2 linked regions of the Mus musculus genome follow. The protein of the gene in region 2 interacts with the protein of the main gene of each other region in a pairwise test. Links are inferred from orthologs where the notes say so. Each region holds a gene or a part of one and is shown on either strand. Other genes may lie near its edges.

Region 1 (17,045 bases), on a different chromosome or scaffold from region 2:
AACACTGGTTTTTTAAAAAGCTGAATTTATTCTATTACAGAAGTCAGCTTTAATGTTTCAAAGAAAAAAAGTATTCAGAATGAAATGTTATAATTGTATAAGCTACTTTAATCTACATTCACACATTGTATGTATGTATGTATGTATTTATGTATGTATATGTGTGAAGCTGATTCGTTTTTTGGAAACAGACTTAAGTAACCCTGGGCTTGCCTCAAATTTGCTATGTAGCCAAGGCTGATTTTGAACTTATTTTTCTACCTCTCTAAAGTTGTACATCACTATACCACCTTATTTTTCAAATTTTAAGAATGTGGAACTGTGGATCAAATCAGGTGATATATTACCTTATTGTTCAGTAGTTTTGTTTTTTTTTTTGTTTTTCACTAACACAGATGAGAAATGTGTCCAATGAAATTTTCCATTATACACATTCCCAGCCTATCAACACCTTAATTCAACCATATGAATTAGAATTTGGAAGTGAGAATATGTTCAATACAAAATAATCATTTTTAAAAAGCCAGTGTTGTAGAATACCACAAATGATATGTATTACTATTTAGCTAAATAAAAACTATAAATTCACACTAATTGTAGAAACCTGGTCACTGGATTCTGCTAAATCATACTAAATGACAATACATAAGAAAAAACATAATCAAAAAAGAAGATAAGAGAAGGGAATCAAAACCACTCAAAGTTTGGAGTGTCATTATTTTGTACATTAATTGCAGAGTTAATAAGTTTCCTAAGCATTGCAGGTTGACTTTCATTTTTAAATTTGGGTAAACAGATCTACTTATCAAAGAACCATTAGTAATAAACATAAATAAAAATATAAAAATCAGTAAACAAAATTAGATGTTTGCCTTTTGCGGGCCATTTCCAGAAGCTGGAGCAGCATCATGAACTGAACATTCATTGGGCAAAATATCAGCTCCTGGATCAACTTCACTGCAGTGGTAGTTAACAGTTGTATAAGCCTATATTAAAATGATGAAAAAGTATAAGTAAAGAGAACCATACATTTTAAGTCATCTGTTTTTCAAAATGTTAAGCTATTTAAAAAACGATTTTAAACTGAAAGGCTAAAAGTAAGTCTTATTTTTAAATGTCCTCTGCCAACACTATCAGAATCAGGATTCTAAGAAAAGTATAATATACAGTAACAGAGTATGGGAGAATTTTCTTGATTGTTTTTAAAATATCCAATCTTCATGAAAGTTAACAAAAGCTTTGGTGTTTACAGTTAGTAGCTTCCTTTATTCCTTTTATAAAGTATTATTAATGGTAAAATTGTCTTGCTCCTATACATTTTCTCTAAATAGCACAGTTAGAGGCAGATTCTAGGAAGAACCAATGCTAATTCTGAATCTAATATTAAAACTACTTTTTGTGGATTATATATCATGCCAACAAGTAACCAAATACATGAAGCAGCCACTAAGCCTGGGCATACAAAAATAATGTGGAAAAAAAAGCAGTTTCTCTCTCATGTGTGTATGTAATCGAGGTAACAAGAAAGTAAAATATGTACTATAAAATGCAATTAAAATATAAATGTATACAATATGGCAAAGAAAACACTGTAAGTCTAATAAGAGTATGCTCAGCTAATTCATTTTACCGGAGGTATAACATAACTCCTCTGCTCTCCAGCAGGCCACTGCGGTGGCATCTTAAGAAAAGGAAACAAAGATTACTTAATCACACGTTTTCATGAAAGAGGCAATAAGACAATGTGAAAGTACTCGTGCTGACTCAATTTCTTTTAAAACAGAACTAAAGGTAGATACGTTTATGCTTCTGATATCTGTGTACTTCTCATTTCTTCTATATATAAACCTCACATTTTCTCAGAAGTTAGCATTTAGGAAAATAATAAGACAGTGGCTTTTGGAAATTATCACTAGCTATAGCCATGGGTCATAAATATGGTCACATCTATTGGAAGAAATTTATGGGACTACTATTTCACAGCATCCATCACAATTAAACACTATCAGACTCTGGATGCTCTTAAGAACTGGGTAATATTTTTATTTTAACCTACCCTATAAAAATTTATAAAAATCAGCCTGGATTTTTCAGGTATTTGAAAGCAGTGAAAGAATGCATGCTGAAATAATAACAAAAAATACTGAATCTTTGTAAACAGTCTGAACAAAACTTTTCTTTATCAAAATAATATTGATGCCTGAATTATAGATTACTTCTACTTTCCTTTTATTTTAAATCGATACTATGTGGCAATTTTATATAAATACAGACTATACTAATATCCCAAATTATTTTTCTTTCCCCTAAGTTATCTGATAATTAAAATCCCTCCCTTTAGGGCTCAGGGAACCCTGGGGAAGAAGAAGCAGATAGTGTGTAAGAATTGGAGGGGATGGAGGACACCAAGAAAACAAGTCCTTCTAAATCAACATGATCAGAGCTCACATGAATTCACAGGGATGGATGCAGCATACACGGGGCCTGCACAAACATGCACTAGGTTCTATGCATAGGCAGACATTATGGCTTCCAATTTAGTATTTTTATGAGATTTATGAGTTTGTGAATGAATCTCTAATTTTTGTACCTTCTCTTGGGCTTTTTTCCTTCCATTTGTTTTGTTTAATTCTGATGCATTAGTTTTTGTTTTGATTTTATTATCCCTTACATAGTAGTGTAAGCAAGCCCAATTAAGTGCTTTCTTTTATAAGAATTGCTGTGGCCATTGTGTTTCTTCACAGCAATAGAGCACTAAGACACCTTAGAAACCTGTTTATAAGGAGGTGAGAATGGGATGGAAGTGGGGGGTTGGGAGGACTACAAGAAGGGGAAACCATAATCAGGATGTGTGAGAAAAAAAATTTCAATAAAAGAAAAAATACCTGGTAGTTATAAACAGGCAGCTGATATCCAGTGATGACCTGAACTGGTGAACTTGGATAAGGAGGATATGCCTAAGAATAAAGTACACAGAAAAAAAGAATTATATATTTGAGAAAGTAAATCAATTCACAATAAAACAAAAATACGTATTTTTTCTTTTTATATATACACATATATAGTAGCAATACTTTAACTAGAAATATAGGTGCCAAATAAATGACTGGTTTTATAAAAAAGTATTTCTTGTCAAATGATAACCTATTAGGCAGGCAGGAAGAAAAGACAATGTTAATGTCTGCCTTTTTCCAAGCCAATAACTCCCTTAGGAGGTCATCGTACATTGATTATCTAGTTCTAGTAGTGGAGTTAAATTAGTGTATCTTGTTTCTTTATAAAAACACTTTTGCACAGTATTATTATTAACAGCAACATTAGCAGATAATCTCTAAAATTCCTCTGGTATTTATGATTTTCTTCTGTATTTAATTTCTAAAAGTTAAGGGGATTACAATCTGAAACTAGAAAAAAGGATAAATCAGTGTTTCCTATACTTGTATTTATTGAATAAAAGCAAGTAGGTCACATGCACACCTTGTATCAGTTAGGAATAAATAGGGATTTTCTTCTAAGTCATACTAACAGCCAGAAAAGTAAGATAAGATACTGTCTATATTCCACACATATAAATATATAAGATTTTACTAGTTTTCTTTTCTGGCAAAAGTCTCTCAAATTGAAAAAGTAAAATGTACCAATATGCATAGCAAGCATGAAAATTTAAGTGTCAACCAATTTCAGACAAATTATGATTTATATATTTTTTAAAAATACCCTATCAATTCTAGAACCGAAATAAACCCAGATGTCAACAACTTACATGAGGAAGCATTTGGAAAGCACTGCAAGTACAACATAGATTAAGTGATGGGCTTTGGGAAGGCATCAACTAAGAGAACTTACAAAACTGTTTTCTAATACTTAAAAACATTTTCAAATTTAAAAACTTTTTTACAAAAAAGAAAAATAGTCCTTCTCTATTTTTTTATGTATCTTAATGTGGCTACCAAGGTTCTAGGATAATGGCTTATAAACTACAGAGAAGTGATTTCAGCTTAGCATAAACAGCGCTAAGAATGACAGTAATAACAAAATCCTAATACTTGAAGTATTCCAATAAAGAATGGAGTGTGTTATCACTTAACATCCCAACTGTGCATAAATTTCAGAGCTTAAAAAGACTATTGAATATAAGAATAAAAATACAGGCAGCTTTTACCTGAACATACTGAGTGATAGGATTCATCATGGTTGGAGGCTGCATGTAAGTCTCAGCATTTGGACTACTCCAAACACTCTGGAACTGTGGTGGAGGAGGAGGATTAAAAATCAAAGGACGTGGCTGCACATGATAAGTACCTTTAAAAAAGTACAAAGAACAAAAGTTACATTGCGTTCTCTGAAAACCTAGGCAGATTCATCAAGAAAACTTCTGGTTTTACTCACATAAATTTTGTTTCCTGATTGCAGGGCCCAGTTTCAGCTTTTTACCATGGAAATTTATCTGTGACTAAAAATAACACACGATAATTTTAATCTTTCATTTCCAAGAGTTTGGCAAACACTATTGTGCTCAGCCTTACTTTAACCAAAGTGTCACAATGCATCAAATCCCTTTTCTAATCTGATAAAGCTAGAGGCCTCCAAGCAAGCATGTTCTGACAAGTTACATAAAATTACAGTTTGATCTTAAACAGAAAGGAAGCCTATTTTCTCTGTATTTTATGTAAGATTGAATATCCAGGACTTACTCAACACGAAAGCATTGCTAAAGAAGAGTTTTACCAAAGACTGTTACTTACTTCTACTATCTTCTGCACATCCACGTCATTATAAAATGAGACAAATCCATAGCTAGAAAAACAAATGAAATATAAAATCATAACCATAGTAAATCCTATATTAACAGAAAATGATAATGAAAGATCAATATATTGTGATAAAAATACTGAAACACAGAGAACAGATCCTCTATAATACCACTGCTGTTTTCTTAGTAATGTCAGAATGTAGTAATATTAACATTCATTAAAAAATGTTTATTACTTAAGGCAAGACAGCTACAATTTAAGATAGTGTGGAATGTGCCAAGAAATAACTATTTAATAATCCATTTGTGCAAAATAGAAAATACTGAAATACAAGTACTAGCAAAAGAACTTATTTTAAAAAAAAATTCCTTTGTCCATAAATTATTAAAGGCAACAATTTCAGTAGTTTGCATGCTCATTTTAAGTCTTGTCTGGCATCTCTCTGGCATACTTAGTTCTATAAACAGTAGCTTACATCACCTATGTTTACATACCCCTTCGACACACCAGTTCGATCAGTGATTATCTTCACTTCTTTTACTGAGCCATATCTGGCAAAGAAACTCCTGATTTCGGTTTCATCCATCTATGGAAAAGAATTAAATTTCAAGAGTAAAAATTAAGCATTCAAAACTTCCAATTGTAAAAAAGATATTTGATTATGTTAAAGTCAATCCCTAGTATTTGCAAACTATTCCATTTTGCTGAGTGTATTTTTAATTTCTATGTATTAAAACCAAACCTGCATAAAATTTGGAGCAGAAAATCCTTTTAGGTCTACACATCAGCTCCCAATGTCCATAACACTTTAAATATTTAAATTTATTGAGCTAGTTCTCAACTATGTTGCCCAAGCTCCTCTTGAAACTCCTGGGCTCAAGCACTCCTCCCACCTCTTCCCACCCCAACACCAACATGAAATTGTGGCTTCAGAATTTCATTTAAAGTTTGAATGAAATATGAATACAATACCCTAACATCAATTCCTCCAACAAAAACGGTGTTTGGCATGATTTTGCCTTCTGGCAAAACATATCCTTGACTTGTGGTTGCTGATGAAGACTGAGTGCTGGCCTCCCTGGAGACAGCTGAATTTGGAGCCTCAGAAGTTGTGGCAGACTGAAATTTGGAGAATAGACAATTTAAAATATATATATGCACACACATGTATATATAAACATGACAAATTATGTAAAACACTTCGTTTGTATTTCACCTAAATTAGCTAGCAATAGTGTAGTTTAGCTTCAGGACTTAAAGCAATTAGAGAACTGGCATAGAAATTAAAAAGGTAGTACTTTCAGAAATATCCTTCTTACTGTTACCTCTGAAACTGAAAGCAAACCCCACTATGGTTATGGTATCTTTTCACAGCAACAGAACACTAAGACAACACATTTTTAAAACATGTGTAAGTTTTTTGTCTGCTTGTATGTATGTGCACCATGTGTGTGCTAGTGCCTACAGAAGCCAGAGGGAGCTGGATCTCCTGGAACTGAAATTACAACTGTGAACTATCATAAGGGTCCTCTATAAGAGTAGCAAAAGTGCTGTTAACAACTGATTCATCTCTCTGCCCCATTCATGTCACCTTTTACACTATATTGTGAAAAAATGCCAACTTTACAGTTTATGAAAAGATTTTATTTGATGAACTTGGTGAAAAGTTCTGATCTGTGAAGACTAAAACCATTGTGGAACTACTACTAAATTTCCATTTTACTGAGTGTCTTAAATCAAAAGCATAGTAAGAACCCAAAGTAAACAACACAGCTGTTCAATACCCCAAACAAAAAAAAGTATTAAACTCTTACATTTTTCCTTGCCTTTCTATTATTAAATTAATATAAATTCTATAACCTTAACATGCCCATGTTAATGTGATTAGTCAATCACATTTAGAAGTAAATGAATTATGAGAAATTACTGACACATCAGTTTCCTATTCCCTAATACTATTGTGTTTAAAGCATGTTCTGAAATAGCTTTTTGTTTCTTGACTAACACCATACAAGCTCCACTGGCAATTCATACAGTAGATTCTTAATTGATTAACATGATTTTCCTAAAGAAGAACTTATTGGAAATAAGTGTGTGTACAGAAGAGGCAATATAACAAAGCACAAAAAAATGAACTTAAATCAAAATACCTAGATTTATGTCTGTAAGTTATAAGCAGCATGTTTGCCAGAGTGCATCTCTGGCAGATTACTTTGAGAATGACTAAAACTGGCGAACTCGTTTTATAAAGTAGTATGCTATTAAGAGTTAAGTATCCTGTATTTAAATTTATTTTCAATGGAGTTAAAAAAGTTTTTCCCTCCAAATTTTACTATCTTGGCTGACTTTATTAACTGGATGGAATTTTAGTAAACTATTATTATGTCATACCCACTGAAAAATCCACTTATGAAACTGACAATGAATACTGAACACTAAGGGAAAGCTAGTATATGTAACTTGTTTACATGTATGTATACATTGTCAAGAAGCTAAAAATGTCAATTTGTTTTTAAAAGATTAACTTCATACAAATTTTAGAAATGAAAAACTGTCCAATACTTTACTTTTTTGACCTTTTTTGCTTTTATCTGCTTAAGTCCTTATTTGCTATTTTATATTCCTACTTGAGAACTACCTTATTTCTTTAAACAGTAAATCCCCTTTGTGATATTTCATGACAATGAAATGGCAGGCAGCAAAATTATTAAATTTTTCCTTCTTTTACTATGTTACGATTTAAGTTTAATCCTAAATGCAATACTACATATGCTATGCATCTTGGACTATTTAGAACCTGACTAGATTTGATTTACTAATAGAAAATCTACCCATCTCTACTCAATTTCTTATTCAAAAATAAACTCAAAACATAAAACAATAGTTCTGTAATTTTTTTAGGACTCCATTTCTCAATTTACTCTTCTTGTATTGATGACCTTAGGATATATTTTTATTCGATAATCCTTTTTACTGATGTCTGTACCACAATACATGGATGCATTTCAACTTAGAAGTGTAATATTTTACCAGTTAACCAGAATATAAGTTATAATGCACTGACTCTCAGTACTGCAGGGGTACTTATGTCTAGGAACATTTCTGGATGTCAACAGTGAGGTAAATTTCTGGCATCTGGTAGGAAGCCAGGGATATTTCCATAACAAATGATTCCCAAACAATGTGTTACTAGGACCATAACCTGTATAGGGATGTGATGAAAAATCCTGTTATGGTACTTCTAGAACTGAAGAGGAAAATAACTGTTGGGAAGAATTTGCTTTCCATTGTTCAAGATCTTGATTTCCTGCCTTAAAAATTAAGGAAAAAAAAAATCTCAAATGTCTTCTAATTGTATTCTTTATAAAAAAGTAAAATGGACGTTTGAGAAAAGTTTAATAAGGAGGAAAATAAAGCATTAAATATTATAGGATGCTTGATTTGGGCTTAAACTACCTGCTTCATCAGAGTAAATATTAAATCGGTCTCAAAATAATAGTGTATTATGTATTAAAGAAGGCACACCATATCCTAGTCCTTATCCAGTAGGTGGCACTCAAAACCAAGAAAGCAAAGAATCCATTTTAATAAGACCTAATTCCTACTGTATGCTTAATAAGTAAAACACCCACAACTGATAGATGCTTTAGTTACTTTTTAAATATGACCAAAACCACTCTACAACCAAATACTTGTAAGTCAGGTTGATGTTTAAGAAAGTATAATTTTATACTTAAGAGATAGGATCTTATTATGTAACTCTGGCTGTCCTGAAAACTTGCTATGTAGACCAGGCTGGCTTCAAACTCATGCCTCTACTTCTTGAGTACAATTATTTATTTTAAATGACGTCTTATGTTGCCAGAGTTGACCTGAACTTCTAAAGGGCTCCATATGGCCCCCTGCTGTCCCCAATAATTGTAAATTTCCACACACCTAAATGCCCACTACTGACCCTGGTGGGAAAGTATCTTACTCATCAATGGACTATAATAGCATACTGAAAACAAACTGTATTAAATTTAAGACATATTTAATTATACCTCTGAATTAGCTATGAGAAATATTAGAATACCAGCAATGAGCCAGCACACAAAAATTTGCCTATTTTGTACAGTACCATACTTCATTGTATTGGAAAATCCACATATCAAATATAGCTAGAAGCTGAGAATAGTTATTAAAGATTTCAGGATTCACATTTTTGAAATGTAATTAAATCACTATGCTAAGCAAATTCCCATGTATGCTACAAATACTGGCCAATAGATAAAAATCTGCAGTTATCAAATGTTTAACCCTAATGTAGTGAGAAAACGGTCCAATATTGTGCGATTTAAATTATTGTGATAGACAAGTACCTATTTCACATTATAAATGCTTAATTTGAATTCCAACTTAAGTTAACATCGGTCATAAGTAGTATAAATTTCTTCCTTTACCTCTAAAATGGAAAAAAATTTTAAACGAACATGCAACATCTAACGGATTTGTGATTAAATGGCTATCAACGTTTGTTTTCAGTAGCCCAAGCTAGCCTGGCAACGCCTCAGTCAGTCTGCTGGCGGCGGCAGCGGCGATTACAGCAGAGCTGTCCGGTCCCGCTTTCCCCGACCCCCGCCCGGCTCAGGCCTCTGGCTCCTCCCCCAGCCCACGCAAGCCAAGCTCCCGCAAAGCCGCCTCCACCCCACCCACAGTCACCAGGCGACAGGGCCCGCCCTCAGCCTCCCGATAACCACGCCCTCCGGGTCCTTTCCACGCCGCGGCCAAGCCGCCAGGCCGCAGGACCCGGCGCGGCCAGCCTAGGCGCCACCTGGCGGAGGCGCCCGCGCTGCGGCGCTCCGACCCGGAAGCCCGGGCGCTCGTGCGGAGGAGCTGGGCCGCGGGGTGGGGGCTGGGCCGCGGCAGGCCTCGCCTAAGGCCTGCTCCTACGGGCACCGCGGCCCAAAGGCGGGAAAGAGCCGTCACGTGACGCCCAGGCCGTGCACGTGGCCCACCCCGGGGCTGCCCGAGGTCCCCAGGGCTGCCCGCCATCTCCCCGCAACCCCTCAGTGCTGGTGTAGGCCGCAAAGGCAGCAAGGCCGCCACTCTTGTCCTCCAGGCCTCACCCTGGGGGCTGTCCGGTGGGGGAGGAACCCAGAACCGGAAATATGAAAGGACCCTCTTTATGCCCTCTCCCCACTTCTCTGTGCTACACCAGAAAAGGCCGATTTTTAAACCTCCGCGTAAGGAATCGCGGCCTCCGGCTGGTCTTGCACTGCCACCCCGGGGCCTGCCCTCGACTCACCATGATGGCGGCCAGAGTTCGGGTGGTAAAACCTCGAAGGTGGAGCAGAAGCCACGCGACGGGGCAGCTACGTGAGGTGGCTGCCTAGCCGGCCAACGGGCAAAAAAAAGCCGAGGCGGTGGTGGAAAGAGAGCCCACGGCCACGGAGACAGCGGAGTCCCGAAGCGAGCGTGCTGAGGGTCGCCGAGTCACTGAGGCGTGGGCTGCGCGCCCCGGGGGGATGACTGTGCGTGGCTGGCCTCGTGACGTGCTACAGCCAATAGGCGGCAGCGCTAGGGCCTCGCAAGGGGGGCCAGGGGACCCACGTCGCCCACGGAGTGCGTGAGGGGTGCGCATGGAGCATGCGCGACATCTACGTAAGGGTCTCGGCTGCCGAGCAGGCCCGAGCCTCACTGACAGACAGATGGACCGACTCCTGCCACTCCCTAGCCCCCCCAGGACCGTGTCCGAAGCCCCTGTGAAATAAGTCCTGGGCAGGACGGTGCTCAGAGTTCTGTCAGGAAAGCATTTATTCAAGTCATTACCTCAAAAATGGCACCTCGAAGGCATGGCGTTATCCCGTCAGCAAAGCTTGGCGGCCGAATTTAAAATTTACAAAATGCCCGCAGAAATAGAAATTAATAACGGGCGGCACGACTAGAGAGCAGGCCTTGCCTGGCCGGGCCCCTTCACCCTCTTTTTCAGCCACATTGAGAAGGTTGAGTCCGGGTGCATGTGGAAGGCGCACCTCATGCCTCACGGGCCGGCCCGTCAGCCATCAGGACTTAGTTTTTTTCTTCCGTTTTTTTTCTCCCCCCCCCCCGCCCCTTCAAATAAATGCCCGAATTATCCGGTACAAAGGACACAGCAGTGACCAGACCACACGAGAGAATATCCCTCCCTTCGTGGAATTTAGGTTGCAGTGTGAGCGTTTCTCTTGTAGGCTTTACAGAAACAAGCTAGGCCAGCTGAGAGAATTCTAGAACATTCTCAAGGCCAGAGAAACGGGGCCTACCTACCTACAGCAGAGCCGAGCTGTAGGGTGCTTGGTGGAGATAACCTTACGGCAGAACCACCTAGTACTTATACCGTCCTGACTACCTTTTGTACAGATGATAAGTATTACAGCTTTTTTTTTTTTTAAAGCTGGCAAAACAGCTTAAGATTGCCACTAACCATGCAGCAATGATGGAGAAAATAGTATTAAAATAATAAATAAAAATAAAACAAATAAGGGTAGATTGCACCTATTTGAAAGGGGGGAAATTCCAAAATTCTGAAACTAAAATTAAGCTCGAAACTACAGCGGTGAAGATCCGATTCTCCACTGGCCTTCGGTAGGTGGCTACATGGTGGTGTGAACAGTCTAACAAAGGGCCTGGACTGTCCTCATTTTAGTGTAGAGAAGAAAAAAACCCACTACAGACAGCTGGAATGGTTGGTTAATGAGCAGCGGAGAGATGGCTCTAAACTCTGTAGCTCCAGGCCTTCCTGCGTTGGCTGGATGGGGAAAGCTGAAGCGGTGCAGCCCGATTTGGAGCTGAGCACCTTGCAGCACACCGGTGTTCTGGCAAGGCATCATCCTGAGGAAAAGCACGGACGTGAGGGGACGGGGAGCACCGTGCAGACTAGAGCAAACCCAAAACCATCTAACTCTCATTGGTGTTTGACCTTCCATTCCTGCGCTCTCCAAGTTTGGCGTTTATAGTTATGACATGTTTGTTACTGGAATCTCGAAAGGAAGAGCCAGGTTTTCCCAGTTCACTATCCCCTTCCCTGCAAAAGATTCTTAGGCAAGGCGTTTAAACGCTTGAAAAACGAAACAAAGGCCAATCTGCAGAGACAATAGGGGTCCTCTCAGAAAAGGACTTTTCAAAGAAAATCCTCCTGGAAGTGGGGTCTAGAGACAGCAGTCTCCTAATCCCAGCTGCTTAGGAGGAGAGGCTGAGGCAAAGGAAACTAAAAGTTCAAGGCTGCCCTGACAGTTTAATGACACTGTCTCAACATAAAAAGAAGAGAGGACTGTGCAGAGGGTGCCACACAGGGCAGAGCGCCTGCCTAGCATGTGTGGGAAGGATGTCCTGGCTTTAATTCCCCGCACACTCTCTCTGTCTCTGTCTCTCTGTCTCTTTGTCTCTCTGTCTCTCTGTCTATCTGTCTCTCTCTCTCTCTCTAACACACACACACACACATTCCAAAAGATTATAAAGCATTTACGGTGAATAGGAATGGCCTGTTTGGATTGTATGAACATTTTATTTTTCTGACTCTTGTCTTTGGTCTTTCAAGACAGGCTTGCTCTGTGTAGTCCTGGAATTCTCTCTGTAGACCAGGCTGGCCTCGAACTTACAGAGACCCACTTGCCTCTGCCTGAGGGCCCAGCACTCTCCGCTCTTTTACTGCTTTAATCGGGGCTGGAGAGATGGCTCAGCAGTTAAGAGCACTGACTGCTCTTCCGAAGGTTCTGAGTTCAAATCCCAGCAACCACATGGTGGCTTACAACCATCCTTAATGACATCTGACTCCCTCTCCTGGTGTGTCTGAAGACAGCTACAGTGTACTTACATATAAAATAAATAATAAATAAAGTCTTAAAAAAAACCATACACTTTAAATAGAAAGCTAATAAATATGTTCCCTCTTAAATAATTCAAAGGCCTCAGGATGATTTTATTAGTAAACTCCCCTCCCAGTTTAAACTGGCTGGTTTTCAGGTTCCTTCTGTTAGCCTCCTGTAAGTCAGCCGTTGTGGCCACACAGAGAAACATTGTGATCCCCATTTTACCTCCTGCTCTCCTGGCTCCCTCCCAGTTTAGTTCTCTTATTCCATTTCCCCTTTATCTCTCCATCACAATACACCATATTCCCCCTTTCCTGCACGATCACATTCTCCACCATGGACTTACTAAGTACTTAACCTGTGTGGTTATCTGGATTGTAGGAAACTTATCAAAAAATTCGTAAAGCATATAAAAGCTAATATCTATATATAAGAGAAAATATGTGATTTTTTTTTTGAAGTCTGGGTTGCCTCACACGGGATAAGTTTTATAGTTCCTTCGATTTACCTGCAAACTTCGTTTTTCTTAATAGGCGAATTAATAGTGCTTCATAGACGTTTGTGTTTCCTCTTTTGAGAATACTCTGATTAATTCTAGATCTCATTTTTTAGTTGAGTTTTGTTTCTTCGTGTTTAGGTAGTTCCGTTCTTTATACATTCTAGATATTAACCTATGTTGTAGGCTGCTGATTTGCCTAAAGGATGCTGCCCTTTGCTGTAAGCAGGTTCTCACCTTAATGAAGTCTCATTAATTTTTGGTCTTCATGACTGTGGTATCAGTGTTCTATTCAGAAAGTTCCTTTCCTGTGCCAAAGAATCAAGCTTATTTTCCCCACTGAAAAAGTTTTACTCACTGTGCACGAGGGCTTTTTAGCAGTGAGATGGTCATATAGATAGAGCTCCCTCTTCTTAGTCCCCTTTTAAAAGTGTATATAAGCGGGGCTTGGTGGTGCACACCTTTAATCCCAGCACTGGAGGCAGAGGCAGGTGGATTTCTGAGTTCAAGGCCAGCCTGGTCTACACAGTGAGTTCCAGGACAGCCAGGACCACACAGAGAAACCCTGTCTCGAAAAACCAAAAAATAAAAGTATATATAAATTAAAATTTTAAAACACATGTTAATTGTCCCAAATAAACATTCAGGATCCATCTCTCTTTGTTTAACTTACATGTCTACATATTTTAATTATATTATTGTGTGTGTGTGTGTGTGTGTGTGTGTGTGTATGTACACACATGCTCAAGTGCTCCCACTTAACCATTATTTTGTTTCTTAAAATTTTGAGCACTTATAAGTCTACTTGGTGCTAAGTATATGGTATGCAAACTATAATCACATGTAGTCAGACAGACTATACAATAAGATACATTTAAAAATTTTGAATGTTGTTATTTGTTGAGATTATGTTTTCTATAATTTTCATAGTGAAAAGGAAATATAACAGGGTTCTCTAGAGATATATTGCTAGATCTAGATTGTACTGGCTGGTTTTGTGTGTCAACTTGACATAGGCTGGAGTTATCACAGAGAAAGGAGCTTCAGTTGGGGAAATGCCTCCACGAGATCCAGCTGTAAGGCATTTTCTCATTAGTGATCAAGTGGGGAGGTTCCCTTGTGGGTGGGACCATCTCTGGGCTGGTAGTCTTGGTTCTATAAGAGAGCAGGCTGAGTAAGCCAGGGGAAGCAAGCCAGTAAGTAACATCCCTCCATGGCCTCTGCATCAGCTCCTGCTTCCTGACCTGCTTGAGTTCCAGTCCTGACTTCCTTTGGTGATGAACAGAAGTGTGGAAGTGTAAGCTGAATAAACCCTTTCCTCCCCAACTTGCTTCTCGGTTGTAATGTTTTGTGCAGGAATGGAAACCCTGACAAAGCCATAGATCATGCAGAAACAAAATCAGATACATGGGAGGGGCACTCAGGCATATTGAAGACAGGGGAGGGGCTCTATCTTGGAGTAAAATGAGCCTGGAGAAACTAGGTAGAAATAGCAGGTGTTCATACCTGGTAGAGCCTGCTGTAGTAGACCCTCACTGTGGCAGCTTGTCTTGCAATTTGGCAGTTTAACCTGTGAGTCACAAACCATTAGCCAGGCAGTGAGTAGTGGTGCACAGCTTTAATCCCAGCACTGGGGAGGCAGAGGCAGGCAGTTCGAGGCCAGTCTGGTCTACAGAGTGAGTTCCAGGACACCCAGGGCTACACAGAGAAACCCTGTCTCGGGGAAAGACAAACAAACAAACAAACAAAAAACCCACAAACCATTAAAATGAGAAAACCCACCTTGGTTATTGTCTGATGTTACTTCCTTAGTCTAATCTAAAAGAGATGCCGTCATACCCTGTGGGATCAGTGAGATTGGAAGTTTTATGGATGTCTCCATTTTTGCTATATTCAGGACATAAGTCCCTGTGGGGTTCACATATCTCACAGATTAAATGTGGACTATTATACCCTTTCCTTTAAAAAGGGATACTTTCTTTGGGTTAGCGTGGACATGGGAGACTGTACCTACGGCCTTGACAGGAAGGCCCAAGATAGCAAAACAAGAAATGGAGGAAGGAACTCCATGGTCTTAGATCAAGGAAAAGAAGGAGTTCATATGCTGCTGTTAGCGTTGCCAGACTCCCAGTGTGAGATCTCTCCCAGGGCTGCAGGAGAAATAAGAGAAAGGGGAAAGGAAATGAGGTGCTTTTAAAAACTCAAAGGTTTGTCCCCAGGTTGAGAGGACCTTTCAGAATTTCAGTAAGCAATGTTACCAGCACAGCTGGAGGAGCCAATGGTGCTGCTCCCTGACACAGAGTCAGGGGCTAGCTTTTACCTTTGTGTCCTTTTTATGGTATTGGTTTTCCTAAAGACATCCCTGTATGATGAGATAAGTAACAATAGCTTAAGCTGGATCTAGCTCACTGATTAACTATCTTTCAGGGCACAGCACCTTTACCTCTTGGGGTGTTTCATTCTCTTTCTTGTCACAGTCAGGAGGCCAGCCTGTCCCAAGACCAGTTACTGTGACACAGGCATGCTTGGGTCTGAAATGGGAGGGCCAAACCGCATCTCCCGGATGGCCGCTCAGTGAACTCCAACAGCACAGGGCCGTTTGCCAAAGTCACTTAGTACTTAGGAGTCCTCTGCTCCTGATGCCGTTGCTTTTACCTTAGCAGCTCCTGTTCGGTGCCATAGCAGATGGCATTTTATTGTGCCACACCTGGAATGATTAAAGAACATCAGTAACCATATGAACCAGAACCGATTTTTTTTTTTTTTTTTTTGTTCTGGGCAGGATTAAGCCAGGGAGGGAGGTCTCAGACCTCAGTTGCCCATTATGTGTCAAAGAGAGGTAAGAGTCATCAGTGTGTCTACGGGGAATGGTTAGGCAGAGTGTGGGGACAGTTGAATAGGGTGCAGGCTCACTAGCAGACTAATAGCACAGAGAGCTTAGGAGTGGGGTTGGAAGTTTGAGCTGTTATGCAGAGGTGAAGGAACAAAGCGAAGGTCAGGAGTGGAGATGAAAGGAGATGTGAGGTGGGAATCTCAGCACTTGCTAGTTCGTCTGATGAAGTCCTTTAAGCCAGTGAGGATTTAGAAACGGAAAATATTCAGTTCAGGTCAGGTATGGCTGTTGCCTAAGTGATACTGGGGCCAGATCTGAACCGAGAGCTACATAAGAATTAGGGGGTGCTGAAACTGGATAGACCTAAAAATTTGAAGTTTGATTTCAGGTACACCAAAGGGTGTTCTTGGGCATAGACAATTTAGAACCCATCTCAGAAGGTCAATGAAAAAGGAAGAGTACAGTCATTTTCCAAGTTGTCACCTGGGTTCAGGCAGCAACTGGAGGAACAAGCATGAATTGCAGAAGATGGTGTCCCTGGCCTGTGGACATCAGGTTCAAATAGCCAAGGAAGCCCTGGAGTTCTGGAGAAGGCCTTGGTCTGGGGGCCCTCCTGACACTGGCCAAGGCTTACCTTACCAATATGTAGTAGTAGGTATGCTCTAGTAAACAAACAGCCAAGAGCCTTTGTTCTGGATAGATGGAGAGACTGGAGAACAGATTATACAAAGAACCCAAGCCCCATGTATGTGGCATGTCAATAACACCCCAGAATGGGGCTTGCACCACTTATGTAGTCAAAGGCCCCCAAGGCCCGGAGGTTTCAAGTTGCAACAGGCACCTGTTCAGTTTAAAGTAAGCCGAGTAAACCACATGCTCAGTGGGCGGGTATCAGGAAAGGTAGGGAGATGGAGAAGGAGAGAGGGAAATGGCCACTAGGGGAGTGAGACACAGGAGCCCTAAACCCCTCTTGGGTTTTCAATACCAAATGTTAGGTGGAGACAGAAGGAGGCAACATGAAAGTACAACGAAGGGCCCACCTCAACGGAAGCAGGTCGTCATTCATCAGAACAGGAAATGGTCTCTCCATGGGAGTGGGGAGACTTAGAGGGTTTTATAGGGCAGAAAGGGAACTT
Region 2 (16,428 bases):
CCTGCTGGTCCCTCCAGGGGAGAGAAGGACCAACAGGAGGGGCAGAGCCAGCAGCCTGTGCAATGTGGCAGAGAGTAGCTAAATGTCAGAGACATGGCAGATGCCAGCTACAGACACTGCAGACAACGGGAAAAGCTAAAACAAACAAACAAACAAACAACAGACTTGGTAAGATATTTGGGAAGTCCTTAAGGAGAAAGTTAGAGATTAAAAAGAAAAATATTTTGTGTTAAAAAAAATGAAAAACATGACACAATGCATCTGAGTCCCATATGACTTTGTTTCACATATCAATGTACAAATAATTATTTTTTCAGAAACAACAACAATTTTAGATGTCCCTTTAAAAAGATATCAGAATAAAGCAGACTTAGAAAGGGAAAGGACTAAGGAATGGATAATGAGATTAAAGGATTCTTTAGATCAGAATCAGGAATCCTCAGTGCATTCTTATGTTGTCTACAACAACAGCATAAGGGGAGTTCCAGATGAGAAAAATCCACAAAGGCTTGAGGAAAATATACTGAGTTAAAAATACAGATTCTGTTTAATGAAGTCACCTTAGAACAATGTCATACAATACTTTGTTTCATTTTGTAGAATTTGAAAATGTAAAATATTTACATGTATTAATACATCATATAGTTGATGCCAAATTCAGAATTCCAAGGGGCTTCTGCCTTGAGTTTTAAAAAGAAATAATTCTAAGATTGCACATTTATTAGAGATGGTGGCTATACCTTTACAGACTGAAGCTGATGATGCTTTGACATATGTATCCAATAAAATAGAACAGTTTTTTAAAATATTATAGGGTAAAACATATACATCTTACAAATATACCTTACAAATGTACAGGTTAAACAACTGTAAAAAGATCTAACTATGCTTTAAAGGAAATACAGGACAGAAAGGGGATATGGGATCTCTCAGAGATAGATTAAATACTTTATCCACTTTATTTTTTAAAGATCAATTAAGACATAACATAGCTGCTGAAATACACTGAAAGAACTGTTAGATCAGCCTATGTATGTGAAAACCTCAGAATGAAAAGAAAGGAATGTGTTGCATTGAGGAAGAGGTTTTGCCTGTTTCAATAGGGAAAAAAAAAGCTGTGGATTCCATCAAAAGTAGTGAAAATTAGATTTAACCAGAGCAGACATACTGAAGATCTTGGCAACAGAAACAAAGGAAGAAACCAAGAAGAAAAATAAAACAGATAAAGTATATACACTGATCCCTTTATGTGGGAACAGGTTTGAAACTGGCTAAAATTTGGATATCTCAAGCCAGGACTACAGCTATGCCCAGCCTGTAAATCTTGTTGGTTACAGAGTTCTCAAGATTTATCATGCCATCCTCTGTATGGCAAGGGTAAAAATTTATATTATAAATTGGATATATAGTACAAACAGACTTATAAAATTTGATGCCTTTTCCCTAATCTGAACACAAAGAATAATCTTTAGTTGAATTGTACACACTGCACATTCCATACATGTTAATGCAAAAATGTATATTAATGTTGAAAGATTCTACGTTTGCAGAACAAAAGAACCAGACATCAAAGAAGACAAGGCAAAACTAATCCAGGCTAATATGTAAGGCTGGATAGGCCAAATGATAGTAACAAAAGAGAGATTGGATTCTTAAAGTATCTGTTGAGGATCGATGTAGCTATGAGGGTAAGTAAAGGGGGGACTAAGTATTGCTATTTTCTGATGCAAATTTTTGTAAAAGGCGTAGTGTTTACAATGAAGCAGAGATAAAAATAAAAATACAAAATTTACTATGCCCGTATTTCCCAATTTATTAACATGAAATTCTATAGGTTCTTTTCTTTCTAAAAACATGTATAGATGTTTGGCTTGCATATAAGTCTATATGCCACACACATGTCTGCCACCATGGTACTAATAATGGCAGGAAAGGGAGTTGGATGTCCTAGAACTAAAATGACATAATAGTGAGGTATGTATGGGTGCTGGGAGTCAAACTGGGAACACTCCATAGGAGCAATCTGCTCTCTTACTCACTGACCCATCTTTCCAACTTCTCCTGGCTTTTTGTGATATGTAAATTTCCCTGACATTAGGTAACTGTGTGTGATGATAAATTTTAGTTATCAACTTGACAATCTAGAATCAGCTGGGAGAATGTCATCTTAAAATGTGAGAGGTTGTCTTACTATAATAATTGAAGTGGAAAGATGCTGTGGTTCACACCAGGAACAGTTTAAAAAAAACAAACAAACAAACAAAACCAACAACAAAAACCCTTGATAACTGTGTTAAGAATTTTGCTATATTGTCATTCCCAAAACTGGACTTCTCAAAAAAAAAAAAAAATTGATTTCAAAGATTAGTATCTGGATCTGAGGGGTTTGTGTTTAAGACAGGGTTTCTTTGCATAGCCCCAACTGTCCTAAACTCCCGTAAGACCAGGCTGGCCTGAAATTCACCACCTTCACGCCCCAAGTGCTGGGATCAAAGACATGGACCATCACTACCCAGATGGATTCTGAGTTTGCAATAATATATTAATAAATAGTCAAAGCTTCAAAGATTCTGAGTTGGTCACTCTTCACCTAACATTTTAAATCTCTTGAGCTTCCCCTTCCCACCCTCAAAATCACCCCCCACCCCACCCCCAACTACAGTTATATCAAACTACTTATATACCTGGCATGCCTGCAGCAAGACTCTGACCAAAAGCCAAAGTTGGGTTTGCAGCTGCTGCAAGTGACTCTGCTTGCTGCCCTTGTTGGCCCTGACTTGGAGTAATAGGACGCTGACCTGCTCCAGGACGAAGAACCTAGAAAGGACAAATAACTCAGTTAAAAGGAATATAGCAACAAATTCATCTTAGACAACTATATACATATCACAGTAGAATTTGGATATTTTTTGGAAAGTAAAATATAAATTTAACATGAAAAGTTATAAATAATTTCCACCATAAAAACAAAGAAACAACACTCCTGGTTCTTGACAACTACAATACTCTATAAAGTAACACTGAGAGTGTAGCTCTTTGAGTAACTTATTTCTAATATTTATACTCTCCTTTTAAAAGATCCAACTAAAGGTGAAATGGCTAAAGAGCTAAATTACTTAATTTAAAAATGTTATTTATTAAAATTTATTTAAATTATTTTCTAAGGCTGAACACTGAAACATGAGACGTTTAAGGGAATTCACCTTTATGAGACTGTGATGTGAAGCCAAAAACCAAACCAACAAACAAAAAACTCACCAAAAACCAAAACACACAAAAAAATTTTGGAACTCAAGGAAAATTTAGCTTTAGAACTTGTTAAAACATAAAACTTATGTGTGAAAAATAACAAACTTCAAAGTAAGGTAGAAAGCTCTTAAAATAATAAAACACAAGCGCAGGGCGTGGTGGTGGTGGCGGCGGCGGTGCACGCCTTTAATCCCAGCACTTGGGAGGCAGAGGCAGGCGGATTTCTGAGTTTGAGGCCAGCCTGGTCTACAAAGTGAGTTCCAGGACAGCCAGGGCTACACAGAGAAACCCTGACTCCAAAAAAACAAAAAACAAAAACAAAACAAAACAAAAACAAAAATGATGAAATTAATAATACATTTTACAAGTATTCAAGCAATTCCTGGTAGAGCAAACTCTTTCCTGGTAGGGCACACACAAAAGATAAAAGATACGGGTTAAATAAATTATTAAATGATGTTATGATATGATATACAAAGGCTGAGCTAAACAATACCTTCCACAGAACATCAATATGGCATTAAAAGTATTATAGAGGGGCTGGTGAGCTGGCTCAGTGGTAAAGAGCACCAACTGCTCTTCCAAAGGTCCTGAGTTCAAATCCCAGCAACCACATGGTGGCTCACAACCATCCGTAATGAGGTCTGATATTCTCTTCTGGAGTGTCTGAAGACAGCTACAGTGTACTTACATATAATACATTTATAAAAACAAAAGTATTATAGAAAATTCCTAACAAAAACTACCTAACAAGCAAGCAACAAGGTATTTAATTTGCTTTATAGAAATACCATGAACACAGCAGCCAGAATTCTCACTTAGCAACATTGTGTTTACATTTATCAAGATAATTTTAATTCAGGCCCTTTCAAAAATTGTCTCTGAAGGCACAGACTGGAGGATCACTGGGAGTGGCTTTATAGTAAAGCTCTGTGGAAAAAACCTCTACCTAATTAATATTTTATTTGAGAAATTAAAAGCACCCTTTAATGAAAATGTCTCATCTTTTAGTGATTAACAGCACACTTGTATAACTACTTAGACATCTGTAGACAAATGAAGGAGCAAGCTCTTTGATATAGACATCAAGAATGTTTATTTTGATGTTTCTTGAAACAAGGCCTAATTACTCAAGATGGGCTCGCCTCAGTTTCCCCATAGTGATGGGGATTACACTTAACACCACATCAGGTGTATTAGCAACTTTTAAGAATCAATTAAAAAAAAAAAAAGAAGGATCGATAAAAATAAGCTTTTGGGGATGGTGAGAAAGTTCAACGGTTAAGAGCGCTGGCTGCTTTTCCAGAAGTCCTGAGTTCAATTCCCAGCACTCACATGATGGCTTGAAGCCATCTATAAAGGGGTCTAATGCCCCCTTATGGTATACAGGTGTACATGCAGACAGAATACTCATACGATTAAAAAAAGAACATAAATAAAAAATAAGCCTTAAAATTACTTGACTTTTGAAGAAAGTAAAATAATGAAAACAGGACACACCAAAGCATTGTTTTAGGGTTTTGGTTTTTTCCCAGACAGGGTTTGCTTGTGTAGCCCTGGCGGGTCTGGAATTAGCTCTATAGAACAGGCTGGCCTCAAACAGATAAATGCTAGGATTAAATAAAGGTGTGTGCCACTATTGCCAGACCACACCAAACCTTTAAATGCTGATCAGAAAATTAAAAGTCAGTAAGTAGTTGCATATCAACTATATATTAAGTACTATCATGCTATGTACTGAGGAATGGACTGTATAATATAATTAAATAATAAAGACTCCTTTATTATTTCACAAAGAAAGGCCTACCTGCTGCTGTCCAGGCTGAGCTTGTGATGCTGCTTGCTGGTTGGCTGTGTTGCTTGCCGCAGCTGCAGCTTGTTGCTGAAATAAATTGGCTGGATACACTCCCCATGGAACACCGTAATACTGAGGTGGAACCACTGCTGGACCTAAACCCCATATGGCCCATCAAAAGAAAAAAAGTCACTAAATTTTATATACAAGATCAGTTACCATTAAACTATAAAAGGAGACAAATCTAAGGCTTAGAGCTGAGCATATCTATTATAATGTTTCTCCTCACACTTGCTATTACACCACACTTTTTCTAATTCTTTTAAGACATGTCAGGTATGGGTTTGTTTTTGTTAAATTTGAGACATCGTCTCAGTTTGTAAACAACTAGTCTCAAACTCATAATGTCTTGCTGCAGATTCCCAATTACTTGCACCATTACAATACCCAGCTTACTGCTGCTATCAAAGACAGAACAAGAGTGCTCATGACAGCAGTGGCCTTACTGAATAGATTCAAGTAAAACACAAGGCTACCAATAAACTGACAGGACACTTACACACTCACATGTATTGACTGCCCATGTGGGTCTACTATAGACACAAATAACAAGGTAATACATTAGAAACCATAAAACTGTAACACTTAAAATAACTCATTAATTCAGTAAGAATAATTTTTTGATGTTAAATTTTTTAAACTATTACTTTGTAAGAAAACTAGGGAACCAGCTCACAGTGTATGAACTTTAAGCCTTTAAAGACATTTTTCCTATTGGAAACAGCACATCAACATCCTTACATGCAACTGAGTTATATGAAAACAGATGTGAGACATCAGTGGTCAGGGGAATGAACAAGTTGTCTAGTCGAGAATTAGATGATTCAAAAAGGGTGATAAAGAAAGCAAACTAAGGGGAAATAAAATCAACTGGTTTTGCTCTATTTTATTTTGCTTAAGATATTTGATTATATAGATTAATGAGTCCACCAAAAAAGTAGTTGAGTAAATGTCCTGATTTTTGACAGATACAACAAAATGTCAAATCAAATTAGGGCAATTAATTTGTTTAAAAACCCAACGTCACAGAGTTTAGGAGAAAAACAGAGCCCAGTATAAATATCAAATTGCTAAAATTAAAAGCACTTATAAACTTAAAGGCAAATATATTTCTAAAGATAATGATTTAAACACAACCTATAATAAAGATTGTCAGAACATAAAAAATTGCAAAACAAACAAATCAATAGAAAATTAAAGTGTGTAAAAACAAAACAAAACAAAACAAAACAAAAAAAACCCTCAAACTACCAAAAGCCTTTGTCTATTCAACACAGCCAGAAACTAGTGTGGAAGCTGAGCAAGAGGCCTAATCCGGAATAGTTCTGCACAAGTATACTAGGATTCTGAAGATTTAGCATGAAGAGCAATGCAAAATATAGATTTTAAAAATATTGATTAGGTGTTACAGTACTTTAGACATACTGGATCAAGTCAAATAAAATATACTACTGAATTACTTTATATTATGGCTAACTAAAAAAACTAATAAACTGTATTTTCTGGCTTATACTGCATTTCTGCTGAACAGTCACGGTGCTAACAAAAGGCTTAAGTTAACTAACTGTATGTACTAAATAACCTCTTGAAGATACTTCTTTCAGTCCTGTGGATAAATGTATATACACACACATATATAGGAGCATGCACAAACACACACACACATAAACAGACGACTACTAACATCAGCATATTAATATCTAGCTAAACAGCACCAGCAAACTATACATACTCATGGAATTATGTAGCACAACTTCTACATCAAAAGCTACTGACAGGTTTCTTTCAGTTTAATAGTTTAGACAGAAAAAAAAAAAAAAGAAGAAGAAGAATTAGCTTTCTTCTCTCACTTTAAAAGTATGTCTTACGTTTGGAAGCTGTCATTCTCCAAAAAGAGATGGACTATCCAACAGTCATAAATACTAACTGGTGACAATTATCTCTTAAAAGTCAGAAGTAGTAGTGACATTTTCAAAGTTATGCCACCAGAGGCATGCAAGTGAACCTAGGAATGACAGTAACACATTCTTGCCTCTACAAGCAATACAAACCATGCTTAAGGACTGAATTTATTTCTGCATCTGTAGCCAATTCAACCTAAATCAAATACCCCTAATGACTTTACACAAGACCATCAAAATAGTCTGTCAGTAAGACTGCACCTGACTAGCACGCAAGTTTCCCTTAACTTAAATAAGCAATTAATACACATTTGGCTTGAAGAGCACCTGTCAATAAAATTCCTTCCATACTGTTTGCACCCAGCTTGCTTGTAATACTTAAGAAATGTTTTAGATATACATTCTCTCCAAGAATTTCATCGACCTCCAAATTATTTCTGAAAAAATAATGTCGCTTTGTTTTGATTATTAGGATCAGTTATTTAAAATGAAGGTGTAGGTTCCACACTGTAGGATTTCTAAACTACAAACTAGAAATATAAACCAACTACACAAGAGTTATTGTTGCTGCCCTGTAAGTGTAATTGAAAAATGAACTCTCTTCAAATTTCAGTTTATTATGGAAAATATATTAGTTTCTCAGAAGAACTTCAAATTACTCATAGATTACCCCTCCCCCCAAAAAAAACCTTATATCAAGATTAAAACCAAGTTCATAACAAGCAACAAAGAATAAACAAGTTACCTGCTAATGTTGCTGCTGCAGCCAATCCTGCTGCAGTATACGGGTCAGTCCCTGGAGGAGCAGCACTAATAATATATGGATTTGGCACAAATGCAGCTGGAGCAAGGCCTGCTGAGAATACACCAGCTATATTTAAAAGGGTGAGAAATAATAAACGAAAATGTAAAGCATTTCTTCACAACCATTGTAATTCTGAATCTGGGGTGGGACCCCATACAATAAAGGTTTAAATTTTTACTGAATAACCCCATTTAGAACATCAGCTGTTTTATTAAACTTTTGGTCATCCTAAGTAGTTTGGATTTTGTCCTCAAAACAACAGAGAAACAAGAAAGAGTTTAAAGAGAGTTACTTTTAAAGCTTCTATGATTTCTGAGCTTAATATAAGCCCACACAGATTAGGTAAAAGCCAAAAACTATTGAAAATTCTGTCTTTGCAGTATTCTTTTTGTTGTTGTTGTTGTTTTGTTTTTTGAGACAGGGTTTCTCTGTCCTGGAACTCACTCTGTAGAGCAGGCTAGCCTCAAACTCAGAAACTCCCCTGCCTCTGCCTCTCAAGTGCTGGGATTAGAGGCGTGCACCACTACAGCCTGGCTGGTAGCCACAAGCCTGGCTCTTTGCAGTATTCTTATCAAAAGAGAAGAAATTTTTAGGCACTGACAATTACCATTCCTGAAAATGCACTGCTGCAAATGTGTCTTCTGGAAGGTAACCAAGACAAATTGAAAAGGGAAAGAAATAATGAAAATGAATATATTTAAAATTAAAGGAGTTAGAGACCCAGCTTTAGATGATGATGATAAAGATGAGTTTATTTTTTCCTTGCCTTTTTGAGACAGGATTTCTAAGATATAGGCTGAAACCCACACAATTTCATTCCCAGACACAAGCAACATAGCCATTTTTCAAAACCAGTTTTTTGGGGGTAAAAAATTAATTAAGATGTGGATTCAAGACTACGCTTATACTTAGCATCATTTGCTCAGGACTGTATTCTAAACCCCACTCCAGGTCAACAGTGTCAAGATTTCTCCCTAGTTGGGGCTGAGGACGGCTCAAGTGATGAATAGCACAACTGGCCTTGTAGAGAGCCTGAAACTCACCTTTACTATGCTGTGACCCTTTAATACAGCTCCTCACGTTGTGGTGACCCCTAACCACAAAATTATTTTCATTGCTACTTCAGAACTATAATTTTGCTATTGTTATGATTCGTACGGTAAATACCTGATGTATAGGATATTTGGTATGCAGCCAGATAGAAAGTGTTGTTCTTTAAAAAATACAATGTATATTCATATTCCCTTTACTGCTCCAAACTTCTCCTCTGTTATGTCCTGGTCACTACAGACTATCTCAATGTTCTAGAGGATTTCTCAATTTTCTCTTAGGTAATAGCCATACAGTAATGCAGTCTGAAGAATTGCCTTTTTAATGATTTTCACATTATGTTGCATTTTCAAGTCCTCTACATACTCTCTGGTATCTTAAACTTATCCCCACCTCCACAAAAAAAGTTTCACTATGCAGCCTTGCTGACCTGAAATTCTCTAGACTCTGGTCATTTATCCCTAGCTTTTTATAGGCCTTTAACACTACTGATTTTCAGATTTCCTGTACTACAGACATTTTCTAAACAAGCCACCTTTCGTTCTGACTTGACTTACACACTCTTGGTGTACAATGTCTATTTTTAAGAATATGTTGCATCTAATACTTATTACTAACCTTTTTATATGAGCCAAGTTTATATTGCTACCTATTTTTGTAAAAACAAATAAAAAAGCAAAAAGTTATTCCATTATTTTTAGATGTCTTGAAAAAATAATTAAAATGCAAAGCAAAATTTAACGCAGATGGGCAGTTGTGATGCATGGTGAGGCAAAGAGAGGCAGAGATCTCTAAGTTTGAGGCCAGCCTGGTCTACAGAGCTGGCTCTAGGACAGCTAAGACTACAAAAACAAACAGTCTTGAAAACAAACCAAGCAAAAATGCTAACTATTGTAGAATGGGGGTGGGGGTGCATGCCTGCCTCTGTGTGTGTCTGTATATGTGTGAGAGTTCATTTATTAGTTGATGCTTGTATCAACTTGTAAAATAGCTTTTACAGAAAATAATTATCTTTATTATGTATCATTTACGACAATGTTCATGCTACTACAGAGGAGTTACTGGCTAAGATCACATGGACAGAAAAGCTTAAATTATTTGCTGTGTTTACCCTTCTACAGAAAATGTTTGGCCAACCCCCTTTGGAAGACTCTTTACACCAATACTGAACAAGATGGTAGTTACTAGCCACATAAATTCCAGTAAACATGTGACAAGCTTAACAAGATCAGATGAACACTTATCTCATTTCAGAATAAGGATGTAAAAGTTCTCATTAGTAAGGTTCTTACCAATATTCTGAAATGATACAATGGGTTAAAACAAATAATTTGGATCACTTTTACTTAGTTCATGTTTTAAGCATGGTTACTAATTTAAAGTTGTTCATAATATATACTCTATTTCTATCATGCTGTTCTAAGTATGCTGTAAGCTAGCCAAGGATGACTGCAAAACTTGATTAAAAAGTACCAACGGTGAAAAAAATAAATATTTACAAATGCGAAATTAAGATTAAAATGGAGTCAGTTGATAGCTTATATTTTATGCTATCATAAAATATAAATATTTTGAATTTATTCAGGTTTCTAAAATTTGCAAATTGTCAAGATTGTTTAAGTCCTGTAAGATACAAGTACCAACTAATAAATGAACTCTCTCACACACACAGACACACAGAGGCAGGAACCCCGCCCAATTCTAGATCAGGCTATATAGATTAGCTCACCAGTGAAGTATGTTTGCTGCTCTTACCAAGTTCTCTTCCTAGCACCTCATCAGCTCCTAAGTGTGCTTCTCCAACTACAGGGAATCTGATACTCTTTTATGGTTTCCAAGAACACCCACAAGCACATCATCACACTAACTGAATACATATAAATAAAAATACACTTTAAAAGGAAAGCAATTGAGGGAATCAACTCAGGGTTTCTTGTGTACTATACAAGCACTTTAACAATTGAACTACAACCCACAACAAATTTTAAGCACTTATCAACACTAGATTTGAACTATTCTATGCATTCATTAATAAGGATAATTTATGCCATGTTAATTTTTCCAAAGTATATTTTTAAAACCCAAAATCTGATCTTCTAGAAGTAGGTGATTTTGAAGTTCATACCTCCCACCACAAAAACAAAAACAACTCCAAAAACTTTCAAAATTGCAAAGACTAACAGCTGTGAAATATTAAAACATACCATAAAGGTCCAAGTAATAAAACCTGTGTATTTCATGAGCAATTTCATGAGCAGGTGCAATTCATACATTTTAACAGTACAAAGGTTAAATTAATAAATACACGGATAAAGGATGCCCAGGAAGAAAGGAAGGAAGGAGGCCAGGTAGATGCTGCAATTATAATGGGTGTACTGGCTAGTTTTGTGTCAACTTGACACAGCTGGAGTTATCACAGAGAAAGGAGCTTCAGTTGAGGAAATGCCTCCATGAGATCCAACTGTAAGGCATTTTCTCAATTAGTGATCAAGGGGGAAAGGCCCCTTGTGGGTGGAACCATCTCTGGGCTGGCAGTCTTGGGTTCTATAAGAAAGCAGGCTGAGCAAGCCAGGGGAGGCAAGACAGTAAAGAACATCCCTCCATGGCCTCTGCATCAGCTCCTGCTTCCTGATCTGCTTGAGTTTCAGTCCTGACTTCCTTGGTGATAAACAGCAGTATGGAATTGTAAGCTGAATAAACCCTTTCCTCCCCAACTTGTTTGTGCAGGAATAGAAACCCTGACTAAGACAATGGGTATATGTATATTTTCATTTATCTTTGTAAAAGCCCCAAGTAAAATTCCTAGGAAGCCTTAACAGCACTAATACAGAACAATAGACATTTGAGGGAAAACAAACAAATTAGTCCTTAAAGAGCACTTGAGGGCTGGAAACAGTTCAGCGAGAGAGATCCAGAGACCCCAAAGTTCAATTCCCAGCCCCCCAGTCCCCGCACCAAGAAAAAAAAAAAAAAAAAAAAAAAAAAGAAAGAAAGGAAAAGATAACAAAGAAATCCTACCACAAAACACTTGCAACTAAAAAATAAATTACGTTTATCCAAAATCAGGTAGTTAGATATATAGTGATAAATGATACAAAACTATATATGCTCTGTATTAATAACATCTTGCTAGTTTTCATATACTACAATTATATAAGGAGAATTAGAAGAAACTAGACAGAAGGGTATGAGGAACTCCCTGTACTTAATTTTATAATCTATTATTACCTTTTAAAAAGCCCCCAAATATATTACATTTAAACTTATTTCACTCCACATCTACTATTAAGAGTCAGAATCAGAGGGCTGAGAAGAAAAACAAAACAGTTATTAGCATATTATTATCATCTATATTATTAAACAGTAAAGATGTGCAAGTGGTAGGAAAAACAAGAAAGACAAAAATAACTAAATATAGACAACAAAACATGTACCAAACTTGAATTTTATCAGTAATAATTATATGGCTGAGTTAATTCACATTAGTTAGAACTAGATATCAAAAAAGTTAATTTTACAGAAAATTTTTTAGTATTCTTGTTTTAGATTAAATCTAAAAATGAGCGTTCTGACTGGAAAATAGATTATATAAATAATAACATTTTATTTCTAGATCTTTGATTACCAATTATCAACTGAGAAAAAAAATCTTAAAAACTAACAACATTTATCAAGTATAAATTTTCAAATGTATGTGTGAGTGTGTTTTCACGCCACAGAGCACATGTGGAGGTCAGATGATAACCTGTGGAGCTGGCACTCTCCTTCCCCATAGATCCTGGATTTTAAGATCAAATTTGGGTCATCAGGCTTTGTGACAAACGCACTGGAGCATCTTGCTGGCCCAAATTACAGACAGATTTAACCAATGATGCAAATAATCAAAATGATTCCCTCCATTAATCATAATCTTTAGTGTGTAATCTGTTACTACTAACCTCAGAGGTGTTTCAGAAAGTAACAAAATGTAAACAAGACATTAAGAAATAAAAGGAAAGTTTAAATACATTAATACCAGCTTTTTCTTCTAATAATGAAAAGGTGTAACTTAATTGAAAAGACTTACCTATATGTGGCTGCTGAGCTGCTGCTAATGCATACTGCTGCTGCTGAGCTGCAGTTAACTGCTGAACTGTTAGTGCACTAGTCCTCTGAAAGAGCTATCCAGGAAAATATTTAATACAAAGATTAATACCAAAACATCGCAATTCTCATTAAAAAGCTATGAATATTTTAAACACTTATTTGAAGAACTTTCTTAACCATAATGACATTTTAATCAATAAAGCATTAAGTGTCAAAACCCTTATCATTCCTAGTGAGTCATACCACTTCAGATTTCACTAATAATAGTGTTACAGAAGTCTCTTTACCTGCTGTTGGGAATTGTAGTCAAAAAGGCCTACAGTAGCTCCTGAAGAATCCATGGGTACCTGATTACCAGGATAGTCAAACTGTAAGGAATCCAGACCAACTTGGTCCATTGCATCCAGATTCTGAGTTTCAGGGTTTGAAAATTCTTCAACAAGTGGTTTATTCGCTGTCGGATTAGGAAGAGGGCCCAATCCTTCTGGGGGATTAGTACTAGGGCCAAGGCGCTCAACTACTTCAGTTGGAGAGGCTTGGCGACTTCCAGGAGTGCGACTAAGTAAAGAAAACAGAAGAGCACTATGAGTAAACGGAGCAAATCCAAGGGTAAATAAAATAGTTAAGTATGAAGGGGAAAAAAGTCCCAAAATATGAAGAATAAGTAAGGCTTTCTGAGTCATCAAATGTTCCATTTCTCATATCTTTTCCTATTTCGTAACTACTTAAGGTAACAGTTTCAGTATTTTTAATTTTATCACTCTCCTCAATTTGAATAGCATAATCATATAACTCAATCATACAGATAAGACAAAGACACAGGTAAGAAAATTTGTCAAAATTTACAACTATACTACTTGAAACTTTTGTCTAAAGCCATAGACAAAAATTAAGAATAAAAAACAACTATTAAATAACAAATATGGCAAAAAAAAAAAAACCCCAAATATGGCAAAGCTCAAAATTCCACTTATCAAAAAACTAACCAGACATGATGGTTAAGTTTCCGTGAGTGAAAGAAATCTAAACTAAAACAAAAGCTGACTCACAACTGTGACTTTCAAAGGTTTTTTTCTGTGCAAACCCTTTTATCTTTTGCACTTGCTTCCTTAATGAGAATAAATGTAAGACTGGGTAGTTTTAGCTAAAAGAACAGAAGAGCAAGCAAGAAAGGGAGTAGCAGCCAAACAGCGAGCCTTTATGAAAGCCCTATACAATAAACAGCTACCCAAAGATCATCTCTACTGTTCCAAGTTGTTTCTCTTTAAAGGTAAATGTAGTAAATTTTGAAAACTTAAAAAGTATACAGAACACACACAATTTTATATAAACAAAATACCAACCCCGCTGCACCACACTACCCTAATTTTCACAAGAAATTCACTAATACTGAATTAAAATTTCAGCATTGGTTTCTCTTCTCATCAACATTGTTCATGTTTCTGACATACTACTACTACTACTACTACTACTACTACTACTACTGATGATGATGATGATGATGCAGTATTCTGCCTGCATGTATACCTGCAGGCCAGAAAAGGGGTCCAGATCTCATTATAGATGGTTGGTTGTGAGCCACCATGTGGTTGCTGGGAATTGAACTCAACCTCTGGAAGAGCAGCCAGTACTCTTAACTAGTGAGCCCCTCTAATATTCTTTTTACACTGTTTTTAATCCTAACATAGTCTATCTTTTCTTATATATGTTTTATATAGGAATCTTACTTTAAGTGTATTGCTCTGAGAAACTATGCATTCATAACACATTCAAAGTATATAAGTACCTAAGTTTAGTAGTAATGAGTGTTTTACTTGTGTCGAACACCAGCTGTTCATCAAACTTAACAGCCTCTAATTTAAGATGTTCCACACTGGCATAAGTTTGCTATCATACAGCAGTTTACAAAGTAATTCTTTTTTTGTTTGTTTATTTGTTTGTTTGTTTTTGTTTTTTCGAGACAGGGTTTCTCTGTATAGCCCTGGCTGTCCTGGAACTCACTTTGTAGACCAGGCTGGCCTGGAATGCAGAAATCTGCCTGCCTCTGCCTCCTGAGTGCTGGGATTAAAGGCGTGAGCCACCACGACAAAGTAATTCTTAATTAAAACCACTAAGTACTTAAAACATTCATGCTACTTCCAAGTCAATCACTGTTTTTGCATATTGGATTTCAAATGTGTTTTTCCTTTAGCCATAGCATACCTGCCTTTTGTGGTTTTTTTCACTTGAAACATTTAAGAAAAAACAAACAAACCAAAACAGAGCTTCTTAGCCAACTTAAAAAAAGGTGGAATAGTCCTACACTTCATTCCAGTAATGTATATATTCCTGACATGTGTTACTAACAAATTTTAATGATAAACTTGAAAGAGATCATATGGTCACAGCAATTTTTCTTAAGCATTTTTACATGACAAGTACTAACTGATACTGTATTTAACTAGTAATTTCAAACACATATTTAAAATCTAGTGGAACAAAACCCACAAATTAGATATTCATAGTCATGTTTAAAAGGGAGCAATAAACTTTCACATAAAACAACTCAATACAGCAAAAGCAGAGAACAAAAGAACATACTGTGTTTTCAGTGGTGCTATTTTCTTGCTATAGTTAATGGTGTGTTAACACTTCAATTATAAATATATAAAAATCAACCAAGTTTGAAATGCCTGACTTTCACTAAAACTTAGTAGCAGAAAAGAAAAATCAGGAAAGGATTCTAAATAAAGAACAATATATTGTTTTCCTTGTCAAAAGAGGTTTACTGATTTGGATGCTTTTTTGCACTAGGAACAGATGAAAATGGTTCTTTAACAGAGACTATTATTCTTTGTTAGGTGAAGGCAATAAATACAGAAACATACAAAGCACCAAGTAACCCTTCCTTTATCCATCACGAGGTGAAGCTCGACAACTAACTAGGAACTGCACGGCAGCCTGAAGCCTCAGCTTTCTAGCACACAGGTAAGTGTGCAGTGTTTAATCTAAAGCCAATGACTGAAAACCAAACCAAACAACAAATACACATTTGATCGCTAGAGACAACTAAAAATAAGTATTCAAGAAATTCAAGCTTAAAAAGCTATTTCATATTTGAAGAAGCAATTATGTTTTAGCACAATTCATATAGTATAAGAAAACCACTGATTACTAAACTAATTTTGCTTCATATATCTAAGATGAAAAAAGCCAAATGGCAGGGGATGAAAAAGTAGTTAATATAGCAATACAAAGAAAAATTCCACTACAAGATATGCAAGCACAACTCAAGGGGAGAGGAAAAATCATGTTAAACCTGTAAGTCACTAATTAGCAACAAAAAAAAAGTTCTAATTTAGTTCATAAGACAAAAATAGCAGCTTCTAACATTAATCTTCTAACATAACACACTGTTTTAGATATGATTGTGAAGACTTTTCAATGACTCATGATGATTAACTATTTTTTAAAAATCCATCCAGATTAACACAAGGCACAAA

Evidence for each region.
Region 1: the proteins of Pum2 (region 2) and Dazl interact in a two-hybrid assay, tested with the Homo sapiens proteins (2 studies listed by BioGRID and IntAct). The link is inferred for Mus musculus from reciprocal best matches to the Homo sapiens genes PUM2 and DAZL.

What each region holds. Positions count from the first base shown.
Region 1 is NC_000083.6:50,283,366-50,300,410, forward strand, and holds the start of Dazl (deleted in azoospermia-like), read right to left. Parts: upstream 10,256-17,045; 5' UTR 10,045-10,255; coding exon 10,042-10,044; intron 9,804-10,041; exon of another isoform or gene 9,789-9,803; coding exon of another isoform or gene 9,456-9,788; intron 5,874-9,455; coding exon 5,727-5,873; intron 5,341-5,726; coding exon 5,249-5,340; intron 4,798-5,248; coding exon 4,746-4,797; intron 4,454-4,745; coding exon 4,390-4,453; intron 4,303-4,389; coding exon 4,163-4,302; intron 2,958-4,162; coding exon 2,886-2,957; intron 1,682-2,885; coding exon 1,631-1,681; intron 987-1,630; coding exon 873-986; intron 1-872. UniProt on the Homo sapiens protein: RNA-binding protein, which is essential for gametogenesis in both males and females. Plays a central role during spermatogenesis.
Region 2 is NC_000078.6:8,710,436-8,726,863, reverse strand, and holds part of Pum2 (pumilio homolog 2), read right to left. Parts: intron 13,505-16,428; coding exon 13,234-13,504; intron 13,021-13,233; coding exon 12,927-13,020; intron 7,877-12,926; coding exon 7,751-7,876; intron 5,200-7,750; coding exon 5,057-5,199; intron 2,818-5,056; coding exon 2,685-2,817; intron 1-2,684. UniProt on the Homo sapiens protein: Sequence-specific RNA-binding protein that acts as a post-transcriptional repressor by binding the 3'-UTR of mRNA targets.